Tamandua tetradactyla: one gene and its partners. The protein of the gene in region 1 purifies or fractionates together with the protein of each later gene. This does not show direct contact. Links are inferred from orthologs where the notes say so. Each region holds a gene or a part of one and is shown on either strand. Other genes may lie near its edges.

Region 1 (7,229 bases):
CTACTGCGAATGAATAATGTTAAAGAACTTCTCTGTGCTTCTTCAGCACAGACTTATTTCCTATTAATCCAGTGATCAAAGATGAAAAGATTACATTGCATTTCACTGTGGTATAACTGAAAAGCAAACATGCATGAGTGAAAAAAAGTAAAGATATTATTCTAGATTAGTTTCTAAAATGCTTTCTGCCATAAGACATAGCATAAAACTTTAAAATACGCTAATAATAAACTTTGCCCTAAAGTGATAATAACACAAATTAAGTTTAGAATGCAACACTTTAATTTTAGTGTTTAAAATTTTTACTAAAACCAAAAAAGAATCATTGTTTTTCCTTTCTTGAAGTATGTTGCCAACAAATTAAAAACAAGAGACAAACCCAAAAGAAGGCCCTATAATCAACTGTTTGAGGCAGCATAATGCCATTTAAGGAGAGAGTACTTAAACTCAAACTTCGTACTCAGATAAATTTGGGTTTAAAAACATCACTTCTGCCACTTCCTATCTATGCGTCTTTGGGTAGAATTAAAGCTTTTGAAATTTCACTTTACTTATCTATGGAACAGTTATAATACCTACCTCAAAATTACAACAAATTAAGTAATATATGTATTGCCTAACTGAACCAGGCTTACTGTACAGCACTACATAAATTTTAGCTTCCCTTCCTTATATATGCAATTGATAATGGGAATTCCAAAAGCTTGAAAGTATTAAAATTTTATTTATGAAAAATTATAAACAAGATGGCAGAAAGGGTAACATGATTTAACGGTTAGTTCAAAAATACTACTTTTAAATCCTCTCCATTTATGACCCATAACCTCCTCCCCGATAAAAAGACATTTAGGTAACTTAAAGTAACAAGAATGAAATTTTCATTCAATCAGTTACTTAAATTTAGCCCAAAAATTTGGACAGTGTTTTTCTTAAGTTAGTAAATAAAATAATAAAATTCATATGTGAAATACCTACAGAACATTCTTCCAAAACTCAAAAACAAAAAACAAAAACACAAAATTCCTTCAAATTGGAATTTTCACACATCTACTCATAAAATATTGTGCTAGGTAAGATTAGAGAGTAAGACCCCACTCTTTACAGAGCTTAGTGCCCTAAAAGTGTCAGATAATAAAAGAATCTCATCATTTCATTTTCAAAAAACTTCAGCAGTTTAGTTCTATGCAACACATGGCTCTGTATTAACTCCCACACCAAGTACTTTCTCCTCAGCTAGATTTCTAGCCACTTGAGCTACTGAGCACCACTTAAGAACAGTAAAATAAAAACGTGACAATCTTTTAAAAAAAAAAAAAAGCATTTTAGCACTACATGACTTGAAACATGCATATAAGTGTATTTTCAATTACCAACTTATGACTATTTATCAATGACACAAATGTGAATCCTGCACAGCAACTTCTGTGGATAGAGATCTGCCTACAAAGTGATGAAGGATTATGGAGAATTGTTGTCTCTCCATTTTGTTGGGTTTGATCATCATTTCCACCACAGAGCACAGAGAAACAAAGATTTCCAAAAATGAAGATGAGGCAGACTTCTGCATGTTCACACCGGAAGGGAGACAGAACATTACATTTCGACACAAGGATACAAAGATATAAAAACATATGGAGCAGAGTTCCAAATGAAAATATCCTTAGCCCTACTTTAGGATTTCTTAAATACCACAATGCAACTGCATGGCTGTTAACTGCCTCGAAACTTAAAAATGAAGCATTGATAAAAGCGGACATTTCGAAAATTCTAACTACTTTATTGATCTGTTATGTCAGCTACTACTGGGTATGAGAAACGTCAAGATTCTCTCAATACTCAAAATTTAGAGTCCCCTCCCACCCCCATCCCCACTTGGGAGAATGGGCCTCACAGTAGCCAAAGCAAAGAGTGAATGAGAGAACTAGTTCAATGATCAGATTTCTTATTATAAATGTCTGCCTGAGAACTTAGTCGCTCATCTGGTTGCATTTGTCACACATTTCATACACAGTAGAATCTTTCCCTTTCGGAATAAGTACCAGCAGGAAGACGGGGTGCCACCAGATCAGTCCCTAGGAGGGCTCTCGTCAACCTGGCCAGGAACCAACTATGGGGGTGGGGGTGTCGAAATCTTTTTAGGAGCAACTCCGCTGCCTCCCAGGGAACACGGGAGCTGCAAAGGCTACAGCTAAAGCAGAAAAGAAAAAAAGAGAGAGAGAAAAGAAAAGACAAACAACAACAAAAACACCAACAATAAACCTCCACAGGGAATGGGAAGGAAAAAAAAAAAAAAAATAGCAGAGGGCCCAGAAAGGAAGCATTTGCTTTGGGCAGCAGGGAGAAAGGAGGTTTGCTTCGTAGGAGACTTTTTTTCCATTTAGCCTTCACCCCTCGCTACTCTGTAAGGCCCGGCTGTAGGGCTGGGAACTGCTCTTGGGCCGCTCCTGGGTCTGAACGCAGACCCCTATGCAGTCCCCACACAGGCCAGGGCCCCGCGACTCCCACCCGGGTCCACAGCCCCGGCGGCGCCGCCCTCCGCCCGCGCACCCGCCCGCAGCTCCCAGCGCCGCCGCCACCGCCCGGATCCTGCTTCCTATTTTCGGAGCGCACACCCTAGAAGGAGCGGAACGATCAGGCCAGGCAAAGGTCTGTCTCCCGCGCGGGGCCTCCAGTGACTGACAGGGGCAGGCACAGGAGCGCAGGGAGGAAAGAGGAGAGGAAGGGCACGGAGGGCACAGACCGATGGCCAATGCCCTTGCCCAGCCACCAGACTCCGGACTGACAGGCCCGGCCTCTGCTGGCTCCTGGACGGATGGCTTCCGTCGCCCCCGCGGCTCCTACCTTCTCCTCATCAGACAACTGCTCCTCCAGATCCGCCATCTTCCTTCTGGCGACAAACCGCGGTAGCGGCGGCAGCAGCCACCTGACTTCCCCCTTTCGGTGCAGTCCTCCGCGCCGCGCGCCCCCGCCTAGGGAGGAGCCCGGCGCCTAGGCCGCCGCGCACGCGCCGCGGAGCCCAGCCTCCCTCAACCCGGCCCGCGGGGAAGGAGCGCAGCGTCGCGCATGCGCGGGCGCCTCGTAGGCTAGGGAGGGGGAAGGAGACGCCTACCGCCGCCTGCTGCAAGCTTGTCAGCCTCGTGAGTGCAGGCTTCTTTCCTCACCAGTGACCATATGGGCCCATCCTGCAACGAGTACATTCTGAGCCCTTGATTATGTTCCCCTCAAGTGCTGAACTCTGCCAGCCAAAATGTGAAAAAGCGTACGAAAGAAACTTTTTAAGCATTATTTTTTTTTAATGATTATTTAGCTTTAATAATAGGCACAACCCGGTCCATAACTGGAAGGTTGCTCATAATACATTTATTTTTTTCATTCATTCAACAAATATTTATTGTTCCTTTATTGTGTGCCAGGTACTGTGTTGGTCTCTAGGCATATAAAATGTTAAACAAAACCATAGAAAGCCCTATTCTCAAGGAATTGCAATGTTTCTATTCATTAAGCAAACATACACTGAGCATTTGGGAAGGCACTGACTGTAGTCTCAGGGAATACAAAATTATGTTAGAGGTGAGTCCTACACTCCTGAATAGGCTGCCAAATTAAATACAGGACACCCAATAAATTTGAATTTCAGATAAACAACATTTTTAAAGTATAGCCCATGAAGCATTGGGGACATACACTAAAAAGTTATTTATTGTTTTTCTGAAATTCAATTTTTACTGTGCATCCTTAATTTTATTGGCTTAATCTGGCAACTCTGCTCCTGAGGCTTCAAGTTTAGCAAGAGAGTGAAGGTGGACTCAAATAATAGCAGTACAAAATGCTACCAATAAAATTCTATGGAAGATTCAGAATAAATCACTTCTGGTAGAGGGCAAGATTAGGGACTATATCATGGACACGATAATTTTGCTAACAGCTATACCTTAAAGGCTGGAGAAAATTAAGACTTGTGCTGTAGGGAAAAGGGATTCAAAATACAAGAGACAATAAGCAAAGACAAAGAAATAGGGGAATCCTAGAGTATGTAGGGGAGCTAGTAAGTAACTCTAGGTAACTGAAAGTTCAGTATATTTAATCAAAGTTGAAACAAATAAGGCAGGAAAGGAGGCTCTTGCTAAAGGGTTAAGGATCTTGTTTGCCCATCTCCAGTGCCTCTTAATCAAATGGGAATCTTGAAATGCAGTTGCTGATTCTTTGTGTTTGAACTCGAGATTTTGCATTTTTAACAAGCTTCTAGCTGATGTCAATGTTGCTTCTCCATGGACCACACCTTAAGTAGCAAGGCCTTAGAATTTAGATGGAAGTTAGAACTTTATTCAGTAGAAAATGAAAAGCTGTTGGTAACTTTTGTGAACTGGTATGACTTGATCAGAAATAGCCTAGCAAGATGAATCTGACAGCTGCATGAGAATACGTTAAAGAGTTCAAATAACTGTACAGATACAAGACGCTACTATTAAGTAATTTACGGAGTGTTCATAGTATGAATATTACTTGTAAATGCAAAGCAAACAGGGGCCATAATATTGAGAGGTTTACAGTCTGGGCAAAGAACAGGAAAAGAAAAAATGCTGACATCTGCAGGAAAAAAAAGCAGGCATCCTGTTGAGGCTAAAAGGTAGAGAGAAGTGAAAGAGCATAAGCCATGCAGTTTGGCCAGGGACATCACTGGATGTAAATAAATGACGTTTACTGTTTTACAGTTTGCAAGGCATTGTTTTCATTGATTATTCAGCATTAAAAGTGTTTTATTTTCATTGATTATTCAGCATTAATACCCGTTTTGCAGAAAACTGAGGCTAGACGATTTGTCCAAGGTTGCACAGCTCCAAGTGGCAGAACTGGGATAGAATCCAGGCATCTTATTCTATCTTTCATTTTATTTCCACTGCAAGAATTTTCTTTCTCCCTCTTTAAAATCTGGGCACTCTTCCCCAATTAGATTATTCTATCACATTATCAGTTCTATTCATCTGCCACCTTCTACTTCAACAGTACTTCTGGGTTTTTTTGTTTTTTTTTTTAATTTCAGGTTTTTTTCTGTTTACTTAGCAACCCCTTATATCAATAATCTGTACAAATGTATACTCAGTAAACATTGTTGCTTCATTAATTGGCCATTCTCTTCCTTTAAAAACCTCACCCAAATCTGGTAGTGTTTCTCAATAATTTGAGTCATGTTTATAGTGGTAACCTTGGTGATACTTTACATGGTTCCCCATGGTGACACAGCCAGCAAGTATGTATGATTTCTAATCATCTTTTCAGTAACCTCTCGATGTCACCCTCTTGATAGAGTTCAAGAGGAATTATAGAATTCAAGTAACTCAGGAATCCTGGAAAGATTTCAGGCAGTTACATTTAGTGGGCATAAATATAGAATGACCTTTATAAGACTTTGAAAAGAAATTGCACTGGCATTTTTGAAAATTAGCACTTTTTGGTGATGAAAAAAGAAACAAATATTCTTCCCATGCTCAATTTTACATACTGAGTGAGCGTTACCTACCTTTTTCTCATTTAATTTTCGAAACTCACCTTTCTTTTATTGATTAACAAAGTGATCTTAGTCTTCCCAATTAACAGCACCAGAATCTGATTTTTTTTTTAAGTTCTTCCTTTGGCAGTGATTATTTTTAACTTACTTGTAACTGTTTTGATCTCTTTTCCTATGGATGTGCTCTATGTCCTCAAGTAGGTTTAAAGCTCTCCAAGGTCAGAGGTTACCTAATTTCCTAGAATCACATTCTTTGGGTTCATCTAGTACCACCCTCTTATCTTTAGGCCAGCAAATTGAGCCTCAGATAAATTAAATATCTTGACCAAAATCACACGTCTAGTGGATATTATTTTGAACCCTAGTGTCCTGACGGTAAGACTCATGTTTCTTTTTCATCATATAATGGAAACATGTAATACAAATAATAATGTAATATATAAGATGATAGGTACCCAATAGGTAATGTTGACTGACCATTAAATGGTTACACAAGATACAAACATCTGTAAGACACTATTTAGTTCAATATCTGCACTGGAAAACTAATACCTTCAGTTTAAAATTTTGACTTCTGAAAAAAATTACTGGTGTTAGACAACTGATATCTGGTTGTTTGTTACTATCATGCTCACGTTGACATGACATTATTATGTCAAATAATGTCTTTTATAGCAGTGGAGAGGTGTGAAAAAATCATGCATATTTGAAAAACAATTGTCTTTCTAAATAAAATAATTGCTTGAACTATTGGTTCCTTATATTTGAGTAAGTGTGTCTTACTTTTGTCCATTTCCTCAGTTAGTTTTGAAAAGGTCCCTGCTAAGTGCCACCCCTGGAGAAGTTATGACATGAATTACTCTAGAGCTACCAAGAATTACTGAAGCATCTCCTTCACCTGAATATATTTCCTTTATAGTTTGTTCCTACCAACCTTGAAAACAAACCTTGGCCACTGTCTCATATGCACATGCCAGTGGAACACACAAAGCTACTGTGCTGGTTTGAATCTGTTGTGTACCCCAAAAAAGCCATGTCCTTTTGATCCTTATTCAGTATTGCTGGGTGGGAGCTTTTTTGATTATCCATGGAGATGTGACCCACACAATTGTGGGTGGTAACTTTTGATTAGATGGTTTCCATGGAGATGTGTCTCCGCCCATTCAAGGTGAGGTTGCTTACTGGAGCCCTTTAAGGGAGAACCATTTTGGAAAAAGCTTGAGGGTCCAAACAGCCAGAGACCTTTGGAGAGGGAGAAGGAAAATGCCCCTGGGCGAGCTTCATGAAACAAGAAGCCTGGAGGGAAAGTTAGAAGATGTTGCCATTTTCGCCATATGCCTTTCCAGTTGAGAGAGAAACCCTAAACATCATCAGCCCTCTTAAACCATGGTATCTTTCCCTGGATGCCTTGGATTGGACATTTCTATAGACTTGCTTTAATTTGGAATTTTCACAGCCTTAGAAATGTAAACTTGCAACTTAATGTATTCCCCTTTTTAAAAGCCATTCTTTTTCTGGTGTATCACATTCTGGCAGCTTGTATACTAGAACAGCTACTTATGCATGATTCTCTCTTATGCCTCTTTCAGGGCTCTTTTTGGAAGGAAAATTGGGGTGTGTGGCTAAAAGAAGGGGAAATGGAAACTAAGTGGGAGTAGAAAATGCCTTATATTCTCATTTTCTTATAGAGACTTGATCTTGACCATAGCTTCTTTCCGTAGAC
Region 2 (7,463 bases), about 64 Mb from region 1:
GGGCAGCGCGCGCGCCCACGCCACGCCCGATTGGGGTGCGGGAGCGCGCAGGAAGGGCGCGCGGCGCGGGGCTTTTGAAGCGCAGGGCTCGGCCGGGAGGCGGGGCGCGGGCAGCCCGGGCGCAGGAGCTCACACCCCCGCGGGGCGCGTCCCGGGAGGAAGCTGGCAGTGTCGCAGCTGGGCACCCAGCCCCTCCTCACCAACGGACCGCCAGCAAAACTTCCCGAAACTCGGCGCAGGGAAACCCTGACCCGCCGCCCGGCAGGCACCTCCCGAGGGCGCGCGCCCGGGCGCGGCGGGGACGGAAGTGGGGGGAACAGGGGCTGCGCCGCCTCTTTGTTACTGCGGCTGGACCCCGCGGGCCTCCGGGGACACCCGAACCCAGCCGCCAGGGCCCAGGCATCGGCCCTCCTCCTCGCCTTCCGGGGGCTCCGGGGTTGCCGCCGCCGCCACCACCCCCGCAGGATCCGGATGCGGACCCTGCCTGCGGTCCCCGAGGCGGCGGACGGGGTGCGCAACGGCGAACCCTAGTGTCCTCGGCCTTACCCTGGTGGCCGCTGCCCTCCCCCGGGGCCACCGCGCGGGAGGGACGCTCCTCACCTTCCCGAGCGCTCCCCACACCTCCAGTTTCTGAATCGCCGCTTTCCGCCGGACGGGAGAAGCCCAACTTCTCCAGAGCGCCGCGGCCACTCCTCGTTTCCTTCCGCAGAGCGAGGATCTGGGTGCCCCCTTCTCGGGATGATTCATTTCGCTCCTTACCTGGAGGCTCGCACCAGTCCCCTCCCCTTCGCCGCCCGGCACAGTGACCGCGAGCCGGCGCCCTCTGCCGGGCCACCGGGCGGCGGCACCCGGGGACAGGGAGAAGGGCACCGCGGCTCGGGGACACGGAGCTGAGCCAGGCGCGGGGATCCCCGGGCCGAGCGCGGATCACCCACTCCCCAGTGTTCGGGGGCCATCCTGGGGCCGCCCTGCCGAGGCTGGAGTCCGTGCCCCGCGCGAAGGGGCCCCGAGCTATCCCGGCGCCAGGGGACACTGACGCTCGGTCGCGGGCCAGGTGTCTCGAGGAAACCACACAAGTCGTGTGCACGTCCTGTTTTAAAACACTGGCAAGGCCGGTTTTACTGTGTTTGCAAACGGAGTTTTGTGTCCTGTACCGCAGCTGCCCTCCTCGTTCTCCTACCCTCGGAATTTAAAAGGACAGAGTAGGAGGGCGGTGCGTGTCACGTCCCCTGGGTCCTGGGGCTGGAGAAAGTCTTGGGGTCCAGCTCCAGGGCAGCCACGGGCCCAGCGCTAAGGGCTTTCGGACTCCAGCTGAGCTGAAGGTCTGAGTGTCACTGCCTGGGACGGGGGAGTGGCAGAAATCAAATGACTCGCTTTCCCCTGAGTAAACACACCTCCAGCAGGGTCGCCTTTCCCACGCAGGCCCTGAGGGAAGTCCAGTGGGGCCGAGGGGGGCGAGTGAGGGAGGACAGGGTCGCAGGCCCGCGGCCCCCCCGGAGCGCGTCGTCCCCCCCGCCCGGACTGCCCGGCGTCACTCACCTCCTCTGCCAGCTCCCGCACCAGCGCCCCGCACACCTGCCCGGGCCCCGGAGCTCGAGGGGCGCACACTCGCAGGGGACCGCGGCGGCGGTGGCGGTGGCGGCGGGGCTCCCTGCTGCCACTCGCTGTCGGGGAAGACGCCGGGAGGGTCCGGCCCGCCCGGACTCGCTGAGCGGAACAAGTTGCGAGGTCCGTGAGGGCTGACCCGGCGCCTCCTTCCCCGGCGTCTCGGCGCGGCTGGCGAGCGCGGTGGATTAATTATAGGCCCCCGGGGCAGGCCGCGGGGCGCGCTGAGTGGCTCGGAGCGCGTGCCAGGCCGGCCCGGCTGCCCGGACCCACCCCCTCGGCGCGCGCCCGCCCGCCCTCCCGGCCCCGCGCCCGCGCTGCCGCGCCCACGTGCACGCGCCAGGAGCGCAGGGCTCCCACCCGACTCAGGCGCGCGTGCGGCTTTCCCGAGGTCCTAGGGGCGCCTCTTACCTGGGCGCGACCCCACGGGCCCTGACTTTCCAGGCGTTCTGGAGATAAAACACACCCACGTCGGTGAACGTTAACGCTCCCGGCGCTCGCGGCCAGTTGTCAGGGGGACCGTCCTGGCGGGCCCCTAGCAACTGTGAAATGGTCGCTACGCCCTCCGATTTGCCTGTCCGGCGAGGGGGACCACATCCTACCTCGAGGCTTCCCAAACTTCAGCCAGCCCGGAGCCGGCGCGCTGCGCCCCACCCCGGGAGTCTGTGATTCCGTAGGTCTACGGGGAAAGCGGAAGAATTTGCATTTCTTACAAGTTTTCTTGGTGATACTGATGCATTTGTGAGACTACTTGATAACTTGCAAAGCTGCAGATAAATTTGCAAATGTTACGTGTGTGTTTTGGTAGACATTTAACTTCCCCCCCAGCCCAGGCTTCTTTCCTCTGAGTGCTAGACTTTTTTTATTTTTACTCCTGAGTGTGCGCCAAGCTGATAGAGACCAGCCCTTATCAGAAAAGCGAAAGGTGAGCTTCACTGCCCCGAAGGCTTCGAGCACAGCAAGGCTTCCAGCACAGCTCCAGCCTTCCCTAATCCCTAATAGCCCACCCCACACCCTCTACTAGAGACGGAGCTGGGGTCACCACACCCACAAAGTACCTTGTGGGACTTGAGATCTTGCAAAGAAGCAGCGTTCTCAACTCAGCCCGTGGGGCTTTGGAAGACATACAGGGCAGCCCTGAAAGGTGTGAAAAGAAGATTGGGAGCACTGCAGGAATTTGGGACCCCTGCCCCAGAAACCGTTTTAGAACTAGCCCTTGCCCTTTGTCCCTGACAAGGCACACAGCTGCCCTTACCTGCCTTTGTTGGAGCCGTGCCCTCTCCAGGGTACCTGTGCCATCTCCAGAAGGCTGTGGGTTCCTAAAAGAGGATCTTTGTTGAATAACCGCCTTGATGACTCTTCCTCCTCTTCCTGTGCAGGAGAACTGGGGAGGTATTTGCAGCTCGGGAAGGCAGGAAGGAAGCCTGGGCAGGGGCTGACCCAACACTAGCCAGAAACATCTGAGCCACTAAGCAGTAATTTCCCTTAAAGTGCAGCTTTCCCCAGGCTTCAACCCTAGTCCTTTGCTAGTCCCATTTTCTGTTCCTCCCTTTGTGGCTTCATCCAACTCTTGACTTCACCTAACTCTAGTCCAGTCCTCTCCCCAAGCTCCAGCCCCTTCTATCCAAGTAGCTCTTGGATCAACAGAGGCATCCCAAACTCAGTACATCCGTAATCGAGCTCTTTTCCTGAACTTGGTCCTCCCGCTGCCTTCCCCACCAGAGTGGATGGCACAAACTCAGGCCTGCCAGAGACCCGAGAGTCAGCCAAGACCTGACCCACGTAATCAGCTCCAGTCCACTTGCTACCACATCCTTAATGCCGCCGAGGCATCCGGTCCTCTCCGCTCCCACACCACTGCCCCCGTTCAGACTTTTGACTCTTTCTCCTCTAGATTTTGGCACCAACCAGCTGCCCAGCTCCCCCAGCCCCCAGCCCGGCTCGTCAACCAGCCAGCCCCATCCACACTGCTTCCTTCTACAATGAAAAGCTGGTTATCCCTCTGCCTTTCTTGGAAACTCTCAGTGGATTCCCTTTATGTGTTGGGAGAAAATTCAACTCCTTTGCTTGCTGGTCGCTGGCCTTTGCCCCATCTGTGCCCTTCACTCCTTCTGGACTCTGGACTCCTGGAACTTCTGCACTCCCGACTTTCTTGGTCTGGAGAGAAGGTGTCGCTCTCCTCTGGGGAGTCACGGGCTCTGGGAAACCTGCCACCCCTTTCTGACTGAGGTGCTCCTCCTTCCTCGCAGGGCGTGGAACTGTAATAATTGATTCACTTTCCTGTACCCTCCATTAAACTGGGAGCTCCTGGGGGAAAAGCACCCCTCCTATTTTTTTGTAAATTTGATGTCTAGATTGAATTTTGTAAAAAAGAAAAAAGTCTGCTTAAGAAATCACTGAATTCTTAGGAAAATCAGAGGATTTGATCATACTTAGCATTTGTTCGTAAATATCTTATTTATAGCAATTGTCACTTTTTCTGATAATACTTTATAAACATTCTCCCTTAAATCACCTCCTGGTTGAATTATTGTCCATTAGAATCCCAAGTTAGTTTCCATGCCTCCTAAATCTCCAGAGTTCCTTAGACAGGGTTTTTCAAACTGTTGATCTTGAAATCAATTTTGTGGCTAAAGATCAGCATTTTTAAAAAACATAAAAAAGAATTAAAATTACTAAACATGTACCATATTAAGAGTAAGTATTATTTACATGAAACTTTGTTTCAGTTAACTATATTTGTGAGACTATATATCTGTGTGTGTGTGTGTATAGAGTGTTTCTGTTAAATTTATTCTTTCCTGTGGATCATGGTTAAAAAAATTGGAGTGACTCTGCATTAGGCAGTCCTGGAACTATACTCACCAGAGGACACATATGTAAGGAGACATCAGAGAGGGATGGAGTTAAAGCAAAGACCATTTTCTGGAATGATATACTTTGAGCCAGTCTTGTAATCAAGGAATTGGCAGAATGGAGAATGAAACACAGTACTCCTTCTGCATACAGTAGGTGTCTTGTAAATGCTTTTACAATCTGGTGTGCATGCAGGAGCATGGGTGAAAACCTGCAAGATGAGTGTGGGGAGAGCTGTTGGCTGGAATATATTGGGGAGTGAGAAGAAACGAGATCAGTGATATGGAGAAGCCGAAGAAGGCTTGATGTGTAGCCAGACAACTTGTGTTCCTTGAGATTTCCAAACATGAACCATAGGTACTTGTGGGATTTCCTAATTTAGTATTCCCCACAAATGTTGCAAGATTAAAAGTATGTTACTAAGTCCTAGTTTGCCGGCTATGACAAATGCCACACGGTGGGTTGGCTTGAACCACAAGAATATTTTGCCTCGGTTTTGGAAGCTAGAAGTCCAACATTAAGATATCCACAGGCCATGCTTTCTCCTGGAGTAGGTAGTGTTCTGGCTTGCTGTAATGCTCGGGGTTCCTTGGCTTCTGGATGTATCTCTGCCTCTATCACATGACACTTTTTTTCTCTCTCTCTCCTTCTCTAGCTTCTGGCCCTGACCAGTTGCCTGCATTTCTTTCTAGATTTCCTCTCCTTATAAGGATTAAGCCCCATTCTGTTTCAACATGGCCTCATCCAAATATGATCTTGGAAGCTCCTGTTTACAAATGGGTCCAAACTCAAGGACCGGGGTTAGGACTTGAACATGTCTTTGAGGGAAAGTGGGGCTGATTCAATCTGCTACATTAACCTTTGCTGATATAAAAGAACTGCTTTCTTTGTTAGAGTTGGAGATAGAAGAGGTCCAGAGAGATGGCAGCAAAAGAAACAATGTGTTCAGTTGAAAGGCAGAGTTTTTTAATCCCTAAACTTCCACTAGTCTGGAGGGTCTACTGGGAGAAGGATGGAAATGAAATAAGATGATGTAACAAAGGAAGATAACAAGAGACTCTTATAAAATTATAACCTTGATACTGAAGCCAAGAATTTCCACCCATGTGAAATACCTTCAACCAAAGAAAAGTAGATCCAAGATCCAACCCACAAGTATTTAGAAGGCAATGTTCTCACTCCCTAATCTTAAATTTGGAATCTATGAGAGAAGAATGCTGTGTAAATAAAGAATATATGTTACTGCTATTAATTTTTTTCATTGCTTAAATTATTCTGGTGAATATGGTTGAGATTTTTAAAAGAAAGACAAATAGTGTGGACCAGGGCAGCTGAAGTTCTAATAGAAAAGAAATTCTAAAAGGCAACTTGTAGATTCCCCTACTTTGACATAAAAATCCACTTGGCCATGAATATTACTATAGAATTATATTTTGGATGTGAAGGATGGACAAAATCTGAAAGAAATCAGACTGTGGCAAATACAGGCTTTCACAAAACTTTAAAATGGGTTCCAGATTCTCCTTCTTCTTCAGCTTTTGAAAAAAGAAAATGGGATGGGTTGGCAAAAAAAAAATGTGGTTTTGAAAAATTCCTGGAGGCTGAAATAATCTTTGCTATTATTTATAACTCTGGCTATGTCTCAACCATCTAAGCTAAACTAGATGGGTGTCAGTTGATTTCTTTTTTCTAAAACAGAGACCATTCTTCAGTTATAGTTCACCCTGGACTCCTTGTCCTCTCTAATTTTATGATCAATAAATCCTTCTTTAATTTCAAAAAAATTAGCAGTAGTTTGGGTGCCAAGGGAAATAAATAACTGGAAGTTTTAATAAGAATTGAAAATATAAGTGGGCTGAACTGTCTTAGCAGAGGTTGCATACCCCTTTCAAAGTAGCTGCTCCAGGGGGCCAGGCAATATTTTCTTTATGCTGCTGCCTCTTTTGGCAATACCTACTTTCTTTTGGCTATTAAAATTGGTAGCAAACTGTATTAGTTAGGATTCTCTAGAGAAACAGAATCAACAGGGAACACTTGCAAATATAAAACTTATGAAAGTGTCTCACGTGACCGTAGAAACGCAGAGTCCAAAATCCACAGGGCAGGCTGCGAAGCCGATGACTCCAATGGATGGCCTGGATGAACTCCACAGGAGAGGCTCACCAGCCAAAGCAGGAAGGCAACCTGTCTCCTCTGAGTCCTCCTTAAAAGGCTTCCCATGATTGGATTTAGCATCACTAATTGCAGAAGACACTCCCCTTTGGCTGATTACAAATGGAATCAGCTGTGGATGTAGCTGATGTGATCATGACCTAATCCTATGAAATGTCCTCATTGCAACAGACAGGCCAGTGCTTGCCCAATCAGATGAACAGGTACCATAACTTGGCCAAGTTGACACCTGTCCCTAACCATGACAGTCCACCCCTTGTCAACTTGGCACCTATATATATATATCACCTTAGACCATACTTAATTTCCAAATGAAAACAAATAAGCACACATTTTTTCTTTTACCTGACAATACTCAACTGTCCTGCATACAACTGGAAACACATTAAATCTCTCCAGAATAGGGTGCAAATCCTTGGGCAACATTCATTCTTAAACTTGATATCTTACAACTTAAATAGTATAACACAAACAAAACAGCATTATAGTCCTCGTTTCTGTAACTGATCACGTGGTCGAAGTTCATATTTATCACTACCTTCTTCCACTACCCATTCCATGTTCCCTTTCCCCTCAGCAAGCACTTCAGCTGGCCGTGGTTCTTTGCCTGGTGGGGTGACCCAAACCTTCATTCCTGAAGTCTCAGAGCCATTAGTGGTCCTGCCTGGATTGTGTTGTTGCAGTTTTCCATTGATTTTAATCACAGGGCATGGTAGTACTAATAGACGCCCCAGGGGATCTCCTATATTCCAAGAAAACTCTTCTTTACCTCCATTATGTAGTTGCAGTCCTACTTCCTTCTGATAGTCAGGGTCAATTACCCCAGACAA
Region 3 (7,031 bases), on another chromosome or scaffold:
ATCTTGAGGCCTCTGAGCCCAGTATCTATAAAATGGGGACGAAGAGCCTTTCTCCCCCACTTTATACTGCAAGCTGATGAGGATTATAAGTGAGAAGTCCCTGGGAGCTGGGGTATTTTATGACTGTCCCAGTGGGTGCTCAGGAAGGGTTGCTGACCTGAACATTGATACTTCCACGTCACCACTCCTGGGGGCTTTCCTTTCCCCAAATAGGCTGCCATGTCTTGAGGAACGAGTCTTTGAACTTAGTGGCTCACTAAACAGAACAATAATCAATATCCAAGCTGGCAATCAGCCCCCTCCAACCGCATCCCACTTCCCTCTGGTCTCCCACCTGGATTTTTCTGGCAGCTTCCTTAATGGCCTCCCATCCTGGCCTCTTTTCATGACGTTTCCCATCCAGTCTTCCCACAACAGCTGGGGCAAGCTTCCCCAAACACATCTGATCCCATCACTCTCCTGCAGAGAACCTTTCACCGCGCACTGCTGCCCTGGAATAAAGTCCAAACCCCTGAGCATGGCTGACCTGACCCCGGCCAACAGCTCCTGCCAATACCTCGCACTCCCTCCCCACACCCAGGCCTTAGCACAATCCACTCCCAATCTCCCAGCCCAGAACACCATCCTCTCCCCACTAGCAGGCTCTCCCGGAAACCCCAAGGGCCCCATCCCATCCCATGCTAGAAGGCATCAGCCCCTCCCCCTTTTACACAATTGCCTATTTTCTCAAAGGCATTCCCCACTTAAGGATGCACCTGGGAGCCTCATCTCTGAAGCCCCAGTGCCTAGCATAGTATCTTGAAATATTTGTCGTATGAAGAATGATAATTGAAGAAATAGAGTGAATGAATGAATGCACATGTAAAATTTTCCTCTGGAGATCTTTTTCTGAGTTGATCAGAGATAAATTTCGGTGCTGCTGAAATGCTCAGGACTAGATAGCTGGCTGTTCATTCTCCTGCCAACCTCAGCATTGAATAAATGCCAGCCCCCAGGACCTCCATAGGGGGCAGGGCTCTCTCCAGTCTTAGAAGCTGGGGTGAAGGCTGAATCCCCTAAATCACTAATCAGCACAGCTGACCCACTGGAACAGAGGGCAGGCTGACTGCTCTGAACACAACAATGTAATTCCAGGAGGACCTGGGTTGCTCTGAGCCACGCCATACTGATAAGTCCCTGGCAAACAGTAGGTGCTCAATAAATACAGGTTGACTGAATGAGCTGGCTCACATGCCCCGCTGAAACGTGTCAAGACACTGGACTGAAACGGCAGCTCTCATGGGTAGTTGCATCCTTGTCGACATACAAATCCTTTAAAGTGGATTCCCCCCCAAACCATCAAGATCAGGGTTCGTGTTTGCACAACTCCCTAGGGAACCATCCCTGACGACAAAGGAAAGGAGGAGACGCCAGTGTCTGGGGGTGAGTCCGTGTTTGTCCAGGAGCCCCAGTGGATTAGCAAGAGGATGGATTAGCAAAGGGAAAGCTGGGCCAAGGGAGGAGCCTTGTCCAAATGCCCTGGTTACTCATTAGCCAAACCTTAGAGCTTCTCTCTGCAAAGGGGAATCAGAGGAGCAATTAACCCCTTAGGAAGAAAGGCCAAGTTAAATATCTCTTTAATCCTGCGATTAAAAATGACAGCAAGTCAGACTTTTGGACCCTTCCCTTAGACATCACAGAGGAAGCTTCAGGAAATGAGACATGGGAAAGCTGGGGCCCTAGCACTAATATTTATAGAGCCCCCACCTGCTTCATACCCATCATCCTTATTAATCCTGACATACTCTCATAAAACGGAGGGATTGAGCACAAACACACACCATTTGCTGGAAAGAAAACCCCGGCTGGCTCAGAGAGGTTGCCCAGGGTCACAAAGAAGCTGCACGGAAAAAGCTCTTTCTCTGTGCAACAGGTAGAGCCCTTTCCTTTCCAAAAGGCGACGGCTGCTCCAGGCGAAAGTTCAGTCCGAACCATAAAGAAGCCCTGGCCACCTAGGCGGCGCGCGGGGCTCACCCGCCCCGCTTCGGACCGAAAACAGGGTTTCAGGGCGCGGTGCCCAGGTTCCTAGGCCAGCGTGAGCCGGGAGGGTGTGGAAAGGTCAGGCTCCGGTTGGGGTCAGTGGGCCGCTTCCCTTCCCGAAGGCCCCACCCGTGGCCCCGCATCCGGGCCTGCCTGCAAGCTGCCGGACCCAGTCTTAATCCCACGAGGCAGCCTGTGCCCTGGAAGGAGCGCGGAGTGGGGCGCAGGCTCCGCGGGGAGGACGCGTCCGGAGCCCCGGCACTGGGGAGGTGGGGGGCGGTGCGCTGCCCTCCTCAGGCCCCTGCTATCCCCAGGATCCTCTTGCCTTGGGCTCGGCCTCACTCGGCGCCCTCACTCCCAGTGTCCACCTCTGGGGCCTCCAATCCACCGGCGTCCAGAACCCAGCAGCTCCAGACTGGGTACTCCGGGATCCCCGGCGATCCCCCAGCTCCTAGCTACCAGATCTTTCCGAATCCACTCCCTCTCGGGCCGGCGTGAGAGAAGTGGGGTACTCTCGCTGCCAGTCCGGAATCACCCTCCTGCACCACCACCCCCAGGCCAGGTATCTAGTGGGATCCCGAGGCCGCCTCATCTGGGATCGACTCCCAAGTCTCTGACCCGGCGGCGCGGGATCCATTGGTTGCACTGTGCGGGATCTTCCCGAGGGATCGGCTCTTAAGCCTAGAGAGAGAGAGAGAGAGAGAGATCCCTGGCTCCCAAACGGGGGTGCCCAGCCCCGCAGACCCAGGATCTGGGGAGATCCACCGGATCCCGGCGCCCCCGCCCCCTTCCCAGCCAACTTTGCCAACTTTTCTCTCGGGGCCTCAGCCGGGCAGGAACTTGGCAGCCATCGTCCGCCACCGCCTCCCCGGACCCCCAGCCCGCCAGGGATCTGGGAGCTGACGGACGGCCCCCATCCCCCGCGGCCTCCGCTCACCTACCCTGGAGCCGCCGCCGGCCCGCGCCGCCACCTGCCCGCAGCCCGCGACACCTGCCCGCGCCTCCCGCAGCCGCGCGCAGCCTAGCCTGCTGGGGGCGGGGCCTCGGGCGGGGACGCGCCCCCGTCGCCATGGGGATGGCGGCCAGCGGCGCCTGCGCGGAAGGCCCCTGGGCGGAGCGCTGTCGGCGCGACCCCTGCCCTCTAGGCGGCCCCTGAGCCTGGGGACAGGGCCGCGGGGTCGGAGGTCGCCAGCTCACCCGGGACCCCCTTCCGGAAGCGTCCCCGCCCGCCTCGAGGCCTGACCCCGCCGCGTCCGATTTGGAACGTAGTTCCTCGGTCCCCGCCCGCGTCCCCGGGGCGACCACCGAGTTCCGACCCGGATGCCCCAGGGCCTGCAGCGACCCGGCCGCGGGGTCTGCACCCCCGAGAGCCTAATGAAGCCCAGGGGCACTCATTAGGAGGCACTCGGGAACCCCTAGTCCATTGAATCGCCTGCGTCGGGGCCGCCAGCCACCGGAGCAAGCGGGCCCTTGAGCGAAGTGCTGGCGTCCCCGCGCGGCACGCAGGGGGCACTGACAGCTCCCCGGAGGCGCAGGGCCCGCAGGCGGGGCAAGGGGTGTTCACCCCTGTAGGTGCCTCCAGCGTGCGAGGCCGGCTGCTGTACGTGTTGGGAGGGACGTTTTGGACAAAGAATCACAGGGAGTGGCCCCTGCATGAGAAAATGCCTATTAATTTTACTTTTCTTTCCTCATATCATTCAGCAGACCTTTATTAATACCAACTGTATGCTGACATTGGTGAAGGAGCTGACAATGAAAAACATCCATTGAATTGCATTTGTGACGCTTGATAGGTGCCCCTGAGGATGAGTACAGAGCGTGAATACCCGAGGACCTAAAACCCTATGTGCATTTATTGTACATCAGAACACGAAAGCGTTCAGAAGAGAGAAAAGAACGCATCATGTGGCTGCAAGAGAATTGGAGAGGAGCTCATTTGCTTCCTCTTTCTTTTAGGTTGTTGGGACGTGGGGGTGGGGGGTCAGCAATAAGAAGTAAGGGCAGCTCTTGTAGAGTGAGTTACCCACTATTTCCATTGTTCCTTTTCATTTGCAAAGCAACTTTTTAAAACCTGGGATCACCCACCCCTTTCTACCTAGGCGCAGCCTGAGGCTCCTTAAAGGACCAGCCCACAGTGATGGAGCTGTGAAGTCCTGAGATCTGATGTCTTAGAATAATCACCTCTACTGTCTAGATGTCTTGAGCACAATCATAACTGGATCTAACCTAGTGACTTTCAAAATCCACCTTGCCCCTCTAGCATGGCTTTCACATGATATGTGTGTGTTATATAAGCAAAAGGGAATTATTATTTATGGTCTACCTCCCTCTCCAGTGTCAGTTGCTAGAGGATGGGGACTTTTGTCTGTTGGGTTCACTCCTGATTCTCAGTGCTTAGAGCAGGGCTTGGCACATAGTAGGTGCTCCATAAATATTTGCTGAATGTATGAGAATGACGAGCAGCTGATAGTGTCCCACCTGCCGTCTCTCTTTCCTATCCTTAGAGGAACTTCCTGCCTCTCCTTGGCAAATCTCCATGAACCAGAACATATGAGCTGAGGGTTCTGTTTAACTGAACGTCCCGTGTTTCTGAGATCCCAGCCAACTCAACCCTCCACCTCCACAGCCCTTCCTTGTCCCAGAATGTCAGCACTGGAAGGAGAAGACGGGCCCACTGCTCTACCTTCTGCAGAGACCCCAAACCCAGACCTGTCCTCAGTCTGACCGTGCCCCCACTTTCCACTCCAAGAAGTGTCCAAACTTTGAGGGGATCCCAGAAATGCCAAACCACAACTCCCAGACTCCTCCTGGCCCCAGAAGGGGCAGGACTTCCTGGTTCAGTCCTGACTTAGCTGTTCTTCCTGCATTCCTGTATTTTCCCTCCCAGGTGAGAGACTGCCAGCCAAGACAGCCTGAGATTATACCCTAACCACAAGTGGTGTCAGGTTGTATGTTGTTTCCAAAGCCACCCCCTCCCCCAGCCTAGGTTTTCCTGAGGCTATGCCAGCTCTCTTTAGATTACCCACCCAAGGATTTTCCCAAGAACCCCTTCTCTGTTCACTTTCTGCCTCCACCTCTAGGAAGTCTGCCCTGATTGGGCTACTTGTTCTCACGCTCTAGCAACTCTATCCAATAGAACTTTCTGCAGTGATCAAGAAATTCTATATCTGCACCGTCTAACATTAGCCAAGATGACTATTGAGCATTTGAAATGTGGCCAGTGAGCCTCAGGAACTGAATTTTAAATTTTACTTAATTTAGATTTTAAATAGTCACATGTAGCTATGGCTACTGTTTTGAACAGTACAACTCTAGAACCCACACACACCCTGGCAAAGATCATATTCACGCATTTCCATTGATGCATAGCTGTGTGTTTTGTTTCTCGTATAATTTACCTGCCCTTGAGGGTGAGATCCGGTGTATTCTTTGAAATGTTCTCCCTCGACCCTGGGCCTTTGTCCGTGCTATGCTCTGCCTGGCACATTTCTACCTGCCCATTGCCTGGTTAAATAAACCTGGTCTTCGGATCTTAGCTTAATTTAACATCGACTCCTCCCAGAAGCCATCCCTGACTACCAAGGCTGAGTTAGATGCCATAGCCCTACCCCATATCAAACCACTGAGAGCATTGTAGTATAATTGCTCATTTACTTCTCTGTCTCACTTTCTAGATTACGAGCTGCTTGAGGGCAGAAGCTAGCACAGTACCTGAAACAGAGCTGTTATCCCATAAATATTCATGAAATTCATATTGAGGATATGTATTCACATGATAGGATCCAGTGCCTGGTTCACAGTAATGATATTAACAAAAGTGATGGTTTATTGAACTAAGTGCTTTGCCTGTGCCATCTCATTAAATGGACATAGCAATTCTCCAGGAGAGGCTGTATTTTACAGATGAGGGCTCTAAAGCTCAGAGAGGTTAAGTAAATTGTCCAAGGTCATACAGCTAGCATCTAAGGCTTAGAAAACAGAATATGAAGCAGACCTTAATTCCAAAGCAGCAAGAGTGAAGGAAAAAGAACTGCGATGCAGGGGAAGAGGGAGAGCAAATACAAGATGTGACTCACTGGGCTGGCTATAGCGTCTCAAGAAAACACAGCTGGCATTTCCTCCATGCTGGGCTTCTCTGGAGAAGCTACATGGAACAGCCCATTGTAGGGAGGAAGGGCTAGGACTCCATCTGCTGGCACCTCCCATGTCCTGTTCACCATGAGTCACAACACAACAGCTTCTCACTTCTAGGCTGTATTACCTCCCTCTCCAGGCAGCTAGGAGGGGAGTCAGTTTCCTACTCAGGGCTTCACCTGAGTCTGGAAATGGAGGCACCACAACCCCCAAAGAGTCCAGTCAGGCCAGCTTGGGTGACAGCTGCAGATGTTGGGAGCTCGGGCCACAGCATAGGCCATGTCCTTGCAAGCTGAGCTGCCCCAGTGGCTGCAGCAACTTACCCATGCTACCTTCAGGGGCAGGGGGGTTAGGCACCTAAAAGGGGCAGCATTCAAATTCAGTACAGCTAGTAGACATCAAAACAGAATTTAAGACCTAGGTGAGAGTAACTCCAAAGACCTTTGACAAATATTCATTGAAAGAAAAAAAGGAGTATAATTGAATGACTGAGCAAGTGGGGGCCAGCCCTGTCAATCCTCAATTCCAGACTCTCATTTTACAGATGGAGAAACTGAGGCCAGAGAGGCAGAGACACAAAAACTGAAGTTACATTGAGTATAGGTGGCAGAGTAGGACTCAAGTCTCAGGGCTCAGGATTCCAACTTCACCCATAGGTTTTCTGCACTGGCTGAAAAAAAAAACATCATAAACATGACACAACTGTACCCTCCTGCTTCCAACAGCAAAACTTGGTGTGTGCTTATTTGTTTCATAACACTTCTTGTTTCTCCCTGCCCAGCATTCATCCCCATCCCCACCCCCTGATTGGCACCTCAGGTTTCCTTCCGGGACATGCCTCACCCCTCACCCTTAGCCTAAGTAGTTTCAGTGTGGGG

What was found. The genes of interacting proteins can lie anywhere in the genome.
Region 2: the proteins of CAPZA2 (region 1) and SVIL purify together in Homo sapiens (affinity purification with mass spectrometry; 3 studies listed by BioGRID and IntAct, counting the BioPlex papers as one, with this or other methods). This does not show direct contact. The link is inferred for Tamandua tetradactyla from reciprocal best matches to the Homo sapiens genes CAPZA2 and SVIL.
Region 3: the proteins of CAPZA2 (region 1) and KIAA1671 purify together in Homo sapiens (affinity purification with mass spectrometry; 3 studies listed by BioGRID and IntAct, counting the BioPlex papers as one, with this or other methods). This does not show direct contact. The link is inferred for Tamandua tetradactyla from reciprocal best matches to the Homo sapiens genes CAPZA2 and KIAA1671.

The regions. Positions count from the first base shown.
Region 1 is NC_135327.1:156,403,324-156,410,552, reverse strand, and holds the start of CAPZA2 (F-actin-capping protein subunit alpha-2), read right to left. Parts: upstream 3,002-7,229; 5' UTR 2,881-3,001; coding exon 2,842-2,880; intron 1-2,841. UniProt on the Homo sapiens protein: F-actin-capping proteins bind in a Ca(2+)-independent manner to the fast growing ends of actin filaments (barbed end) thereby blocking the exchange of subunits at these ends.
Region 2 is NC_135327.1:220,644,280-220,651,742, forward strand, and holds the start of SVIL (supervillin), read right to left. Parts: upstream 3,015-7,463; 5' UTR 2,861-3,014; intron 2,743-2,860; 5' UTR 2,664-2,742; intron 2,285-2,663; 5' UTR 2,208-2,284; intron 2,055-2,207; 5' UTR 2,017-2,054; intron 1,837-2,016; exon of another isoform or gene 1,540-1,836; intron 797-1,539; exon of another isoform or gene 601-796; intron 1-600.
Region 3 is NC_135331.1:34,798,832-34,805,862, reverse strand, and holds the start of KIAA1671 (uncharacterized protein KIAA1671 homolog), read right to left. Parts: upstream 3,015-7,031; 5' UTR 2,961-3,014; exon of another isoform or gene 2,957-2,960; intron 2,191-2,956; exon of another isoform or gene 335-2,190; intron 1-334.